Linked DNA regions of Xenopus tropicalis. The protein of the gene in region 2 interacts with the protein of the main gene of each other region in a biochemical or structural test. Links are inferred from orthologs where the notes say so. Each region holds a gene or a part of one and is shown on either strand. Other genes may lie near its edges.

Region 1 (3,830 bases), on a different chromosome or scaffold from region 2:
GCTAAACATGAATTATGTTGGTTAATACAACATCTTGGATTCACTGCACAGTTTAACTGTTCTTTTTTTTCTAAAAATATTTACAGAAGGATAAGGGTACTTTTCCAAAATGTCCTACAATTCAAGATTTAGGAGATTTATGTCAAACCGTATTGTGTGCTTGCTCGCACCAATATAATTGGAAAACAAAACATGTAGACCTTGTGATAAAACAATTTACAACAATTAAAAACTTAAAATGAGTTTTCTACAATGAAGATTTTATAGCAGCCAACTAAAATGATAAAAATGCAGTTATAAAATTGTTAATGGCTGGCAGCATACTTGCAATACAGTACAATGTTTTATATATATATCCCTTCGGTAAAATGCATTAAAAGTGTTTAAAAGCAAGTGTAGATTAGTAGACACCAGGAGTAGTGTATAACTTGCACCCTCCGGACTTTTTATTTAAGCAGAGGGGAGGCGAAAAAGTTTCCTTGTCTGGGGATGCTGCTTACGGATTTACTTTTGCTTCCAAACCTAAAAAAAAAAAAAAAAAAAAAAAAGATTTAAGTCATCAGTAACATCAGAGTTTAGGAAACTTCAAACCAACCTATTATGGTGACTACTCACATTGGTGTGTTTTTGCCAATTGTGGATTTCATCCTCTGAGAAAGGGAGCTGGATGATGGAGTTTTATTGAATTGTTGCTCTGGAGTGGTAAGGGGTCCTAACATGCTGACTGGAATTTGAGGGATAAAAATGACACACATTATACAAAGTCCACATTTAATTTAATGCAGAGTTAACAATTTTCCAGAATTTTAAAGTAATTTCAGTGCCCTGACAACATGTAATCACTGTCAAACTGCAGCAGATGCTAAATAATTATTTTGCACAAAGATGTTTAATTTCTCTTATAATCCAACGTATCAGCAATTTAGAGCTAGGGGTGTGCTAAAGCCAATATTTAGATCTGGACCAATCCTCTGAGGAGTTAGTATTGCATCAGTTCTGGACAGTCACATGACTAAGGGATTTGATACAGCTTTGCTACATCTTAAAAAGAAAGTTCTAGGACGTCCATCCTTAAATTAAAATATGACTGACCACACAAGTCTGGTTGCAGCCACAAAAAAAAAAAAAAAAAACAAACCTATACAGGTTTCCATTATCTGGAAACCCATTATCCAGAATGCTCCAAATTATGGCAAAGGCCATCTTCCATAGATTCTATTATAATCAAATTTAAATTTTTAAGAGTGATTTCCTTTTTCCCCGTCATAATAAAACAGAACCTTGTACAGGTATAGGACCTGTTATCCATAATGTTCAGGACCTGTGGTTTTCTGGATAGAAAAGATTTTGAAAATCTGAATTACTTGATTAAAGTTAAGACTAAGAGACGGCTTTCATGTTTTTGAGCTTTCAGGGCAGGGTTTTATAGATAATTGATCCCAACTAAGATTTAATAATACCTTATTGTGGCAAAACAATTATATTGGGTTTATTTAAATAGAAATATATTAAAGTGGATATTTTTTTAACAATCGGCATTCTGAGAACATTTGGAGAACAGAACAGTCTGTTATTGCTCTAACAGGCGGAAAATCCAAATTCTCCAGCAGGGGTGCTTAGAGCAGGGAATATATTTAGTGGCATCTCTGTATAGGCTTATGAGGAAACCCAGGGAGTTTCCACCTGCTGTAGATAGTACCATTTAGTACCAGAGCATTGCCAGATGTGTGTTTCACATGGCCTGTAACCACTGCATGAATGTCTTTTCAACTAGTCCCAAAGGCTGCAGCCTTTTAGTGCCTATGATACCCCACAGGGGTATCAAATGGGTGGGGGGGCTAGTGGGACTGTGAAAATCCAAGCAGTCAAAATATATGTCTTGATATACAGCAGTAGTCTATAGCTAAATATAAAACTTTAAAATGGATTCATCTACTTTTCATTCCAGTTTTAATCCCCTCTTGGGAGCCAATTCAGTTAGTGTTTATGTACCTTTCTACAAAAGCCTAAACTCACAGAATATTCAATTCCACAGATTAAAAGGAAACCATGATAATCTGTCTGTACTGCATGGACTGGTCCACTTCCCCAGCCACCGCCACTGTTAAGTAATGGATTCTGGAACAAAGTCACTCTACTTTTTATGGTGGGTTGTGCACACATTCTCTGCAAAGCAGTTGGACTTTAAGTCCCAGAATCCATCATAAAACTGTAAACCAAAGTGATGCTGGGAAGTGGTTATCACAAGTCTGTGTAAAACAATACACTAATATTTTTTTTGGAGGACTAGATAGGTGTTGCACTTACATAACTATGAGCTCGTCAAAAAGGGAAGTATTTTTACTTTAAAGGAACTATACCTCCAACCAAGGTAGTCTCTATAACAATATATTGCATAAACAAGCTCATATGTAAAACCCTGCTTCATCTAAATAACACATTAATAAATATACAGTTTTCCTTTAACTGTACAATTTACACCTACTATGGATAAATTTCTGAAACCAATTCCATGTATATATTTTATACACACAATCCTAAATCAAGACTTTGATTTGTCAGTTTTACAGCTGCTATTTTACACTTATAAACAAGTCACATTTGCAAGAAACAATTTAAGAGTAATCAATATACAAAATTAAGTAGTGTATATTTACCTCTGGCGTCAGGAGTCCGAGGAGTGTTAAAAACATTGGCATTTTCAATAATGTGATTGGGGTCAATATTTTCTACCATCATGAACTGATTCCAGAATTCTGCAGGTAATAGCATCAGCCTTTCAACAACCTAATAATAAAATGTTAAACTGCATTAAAATCACATTCCCAAAACACAAAGTTCATAAATCACTGTTTTAAAATACTAACCATAGGTTGTCGCCTTGTATCTTGAAGAATTGTCATGGGGTCAGGATCTGGCACTGCATGACCAACAAGAGTTGGGCCAAATACCTTGGACAGATTGCTCACATCCATCTTACAGTCTGGGCTCTGGGCCACTCTGGAAAATGTGACATTTCAGTATGATGCTTTTAGGATTCACCCATAAAATAACTGGCTGAATTTGCAGTATCGCTCACCTTTGAAGATGGATCATCAAGTAAGCTAGCGTGTCTCTGTTGGGTGCTGGCAACTCATCTACAGCTTGGTAAATAGCAGCAATGCTGCTCTTTTCATCTGTAATTTCTGATAAAATATGTACATTGAAGTTTAGGTGCAATAATATGAAATGAGTCCTGAGCTATTGGAAAGCGCAAGGTAGGCCCCTTCTCGAATGCTCTTGAAAGTGTTGAATTGTTTATCAATCGCCCTATTACATGCAAAACAAGGTGATGTATTGTGAATACAAGTACAGGTATGGGACCCCTAAACCTGGGGTCTTCCGTTAATATGTATCTCCATATCTGAAATTCTATAAAATCATTTAAACATAAAAGAAACCCAATAGGATTGTTTTGCCTCCAATAAGGATTAATTATGTGTCTTAGGCACTGTTATTACATAAAAAAAAAAATGGAAATTTCTAAAAATGAGAATTGTTGGTTTAAAATAGACTATGGGAGACAGCCTTAATTCTAAACTTTCTGGATAATGGGTTTCCGGATAACAGTTCCTATACCTGTAATGAGATCATTGTGTTTAATAAAGCATGCTCTACTATACGACAACAAAATTGCTTTGGACAGAAGTCAGACAACCACTCACCAGCTGCTTCCATGAAAACTCTATTTAGCCGGAAAGTGAGAAGTGGCTCCTTGAGATTCCTCAGAAAGTCCTTCAGGAATCCACACACGGCATGAATATCATCCACTTTACTTAGAAGAGGAACAC
Region 2 (3,830 bases):
AGAAATTTCTTTTTGTGTCTTACCCTCTTGCTTGAGGGTGTCAATGATGGCCTTCTGGACAGCAGTCAGGTTGGCAGTCTTACCCATGATTGCGGTTTTGAGTAATGAACCAGGCTGGGAGTTTTTAAAAGCCTCAGGAATCTTTTGCAGGTTTTTAGAGTTAATTTGTTGATTCAGATGATTAGGTTAATAGCTCGTTTAGAGAACCTTTTCATGATATGCTAATTTTTTGAGATAGGAATTTTGGGTTTTCATGAGCTGTATGCCACAATCATCAATATTAAAACAAGAAAAGGCTTGAACTACTTCAGTTGTGTGTAATGAATCTAAAATATATGAAAGTCTAATGTTTATCAGTACATTACAGAAAATAATGAACTTTATCACAATATGCTAATTTTTTGAAAAGGACCTGTAATTGAGAATTTACATTTGTAAGCGCTTAAACTTGAGTGAGAACAAGTGTTTGCATGGGCATGTGTTTGCTTAGCTATGAATGAGAGACTGTACATCTTCTAGTATGGTAATGGAAGTCAGAGTGTGATTTAAGTACGTTTGAATCGTTTTAGTGTAGAAAATTCTGGTTATATAAATGAAGTTAGGGAATACAAATATGTACAATGAATGAGCATTTTAGACAGGCACTTAATGCAAATGTTCCCCACTTTCCTAATATGAAAAAGTAATAAATCTTTACTATTTCCTGCAGGGAAAAAAATGCTTGTTGTGTCTCTTCTATTTACTATTACCGTCGTAAATTTTTACACACACAAAAAGGTATATATTTCTATAAAAGTGCACAAAACACTTATGGCATCAATTTAATTTAAAAACAAAACAAAAAAAACACATTGAAAATCAGCAGATAAAGTTCACAGCATGTTCCATTCCAACATGCCCTATAACACTCATTTTAAGATTTTTATTTTTTTTTACCTCAAGGCAATCATTAAACAGGAAAAGTGTAACTTGTTCTCCTCGATCACAAAGATCTTCACCAAGTGCAATTGTTTCTACACGCTGCACTAAAATTCGGTGGGAAGATAACAGATTTGCCTAGAACAAAAAAAAAAAAAAAAAAAACTTATAAAATATATGTACTGCGTCTATCCCTAAATGTATGGGCCAGGATACAATGCCACACAGATAAATGAACATACAGATAATATACAAGGATCCTATTTAATGGGTATAGCCTGATTTGCCCTGTACTAAGCACAATTTAGGAAGAGGTTTGGTACCACTAAAATACACATGGATTATAAAAAAACACTATGTTCTCCTGGAATCATGAGTTCTAACCCCTGCATGTAGACTTTGATACTTACAGGACATCCATCCACTTCATAGACGACATCAAAAATCTGCTTTTGCCCTTCAGTCTTCCTTTTATCTTCATTAATGTGCCTGGAGATAAGGGACAGTTAAATGAATTCAGTTACCATAGAATGCTGCCAAATGACATTCAGGCAGGTTTATGGAAGCCCAAGCATTAGACCACCGTGATCTCAGAGAACCATAGCAGTCGACATGTCCATTTACATCCATTTTAAATGAGCAGAAATGCAATGCCCATGATACTTCACAAGCACTTCTCAGGAAAGGGGAACTAAGCTTTTACAAACAATTCCTAGCTAAGAGCAGCAGCATCTGCAGGTCTGCCCCACAGAGCCCAACGCTTAAAGCTTTTACTTACATCATGACTTCTTTTAATGATTCAATTGCTTTTTCCAACATTACTTTGTCTGGGTTATCATCTGCTGTGTGCTTTTTGAGATCTACAAAAACAGAAAAGTTTCAAGTTACTTTCAAAGACTGAACAGAGCAAATCGCCAGCAATTCTATGCAAAACATTATCTTTTCAGAAAACTGGCCAAATAGTTTAGATGTAAACTTGTACTTAAAGGGGCAATATACTCTTTTGTTCAACATGAGTGCAATGAATAGGTTTTTAGCCTATTGTTTTAGTCACAAAAAATCTGTTTTTTGTTGTTCTTAAGCTGAAAAGGGACATTTAGGGTACTGGCACACTGGCAGCTTAGTCACCCCCAACAAATCTTTGCTACTGTGGGCAACTAATCTCCCTGAAATGCTTTCCATCCAGCAATAAATTGACTTGCCGGTGGGAAAACATACACAGCACTTTGTTTTTCTGAAGTAGCCTCTTGAGGAAACTTTGGTCGAAAATGAAGCATCACATGTGTTTTTCCCACTGGCGATTTACTTTATTGGTGGTTAAAAGGCATACGCAGAAAACCAGTTGCAGCTATAGCTGAGATTTAACATGGTTGACTAATCTCCTGGTGTGCCAGTACCATTAAGGTCCCCTGTGTTTGGTCCTTGCAAGGTGAATATTGGTAATCTAATTATGTACCTTTTTAGTAATAAAAATATAAGAACAGATGAATAATCAATTTACCATTCAGAAGAAGTGCAACACTTGGTAACCGTTGAACAGGTCTGATAAGGAGCTCGACTAAAGTTTGTCGTCCACATTCTGGCTTTGACTGGTTGATCTAGAAGCATAATACCAGTTATACTTATTATTATAGACTTAATACGAATAAAGTCACGTTATGGTGTTCTCAATTGTAAAAAAAACAAACAATGGGGTTATCAAACTTGCATTTCAGAAAACAAAACTTAGTACAAGTAGTGGGGCGAAAGAGGTGAGAACTTTTAAAAGAAGCGCTCTCAAGTTTATTGGGGGGTCCTTTGTAATGATCAAAAACTTCTTGTGCTAATCAAGGAAGGTTACAGAGCAAGGGATTTTGAGGCTCTTAAATACCTTCCCACCCATTCAGTCACTGACTCATGCTACTAATGAATAGTTCATGCGATTACCTGACACTTTTGGCCTACTCTTAGGAGATCTCCATTCACCCAGCCTTGTCCCATCTGTTTACTTACATCTCTTTATTATGATTTTGTAGGGTGCATATTGCAGAAGGTACACATTTTCCCCAAGCAACATATACTGCATTAATCTTTCTAATTATTATTTATCCATGATTTGGCTTGAATCACTGCAAAAGGATAAAGTAAAAATCCATGGATTGTTCTTCAATCAGACTATGCTTACCGTTCCCCAGGGGACAACATACATAAAAATTCCTTTTAGCCCCAAGAAATTCTGAACTGACTTTCATTGCTAATGCACTTAGATAACCATCACACTAAAAACACATTTCGATCCACCAGGGACAACGACCATCCTGACGAAGGTCCCTGGTGGATGGAAACGCGCACATACGAGCATGGAATAATACATTTTTGACTTTTTTTGATTTGCCATCTTGCTGTGAGGGCTTTCAACTTTGTGGAGACATTTGTGTTAGACATTTTTTAAAAGCATCACAAGAATTTAAGATTTAGAAAACATTTGCATAAAATGCACACATACCTTTAAAAAAGCGTGAAATCTCGGTTTCTGCTTTTCACATTTTATAATCATTTCCTTGCTCATTTCAAAGAAGTTGACAAAAGGTGGATATATTTTCACCAGATCTTTAGACTAAAGACACAAAAGGTATTTCTTTAACACATTAAGCAAAACAACTGTGTAAGATGCAAGATGCCTATTCTAGCTTACTACTTACTTAAATGCAGCATACACCTATAGTGTAACTCTGATATGGGGATCTGACAAAATATTTGACAAACTAAGTATTCAGATATATATATTTTTTTTTTTTTAAGACAAAAACCTATAAACACTGAGCATAGTGTAAAAAGGTCAGTAAGCAAAAACATTGTAAAAAGAATTAATTTTCAAATAAACTTACATAGGTGAGGATAATATCCCCAATACTTTTACTTTCGGCCCAGTC

What was found.
Region 1: the proteins of ect2 (region 2) and racgap1 form a complex in vitro, tested with the Homo sapiens proteins (3 studies listed by BioGRID and IntAct, with this or other methods). The link is inferred for Xenopus tropicalis from reciprocal best matches to the Homo sapiens genes ECT2 and RACGAP1.

The regions. Positions count from the first base shown.
Region 1 is NC_030678.2:148,514,227-148,518,056, forward strand, and holds part of racgap1 (rac GTPase-activating protein 1), read right to left. Parts: coding exon 3,705-3,830; intron 3,186-3,704; coding exon 3,080-3,185; intron 3,001-3,079; coding exon 2,868-3,000; intron 2,788-2,867; coding exon 2,658-2,787; intron 725-2,657; coding exon 616-724; intron 523-615; coding exon 447-522; 3' UTR 1-446.
Region 2 is NC_030681.2:110,939,671-110,943,500, forward strand, and holds part of ect2 (protein ECT2), read right to left. Parts: coding exon 3,786-3,830; intron 3,515-3,785; coding exon 3,404-3,514; intron 2,517-3,403; coding exon 2,420-2,516; intron 1,779-2,419; coding exon 1,697-1,778; intron 1,408-1,696; coding exon 1,329-1,407; intron 1,057-1,328; coding exon 937-1,056; intron 1-936. UniProt on the Homo sapiens protein: Guanine nucleotide exchange factor (GEF) that catalyzes the exchange of GDP for GTP. Promotes guanine nucleotide exchange on the Rho family members of small GTPases, like RHOA, RHOC, RAC1 and CDC42.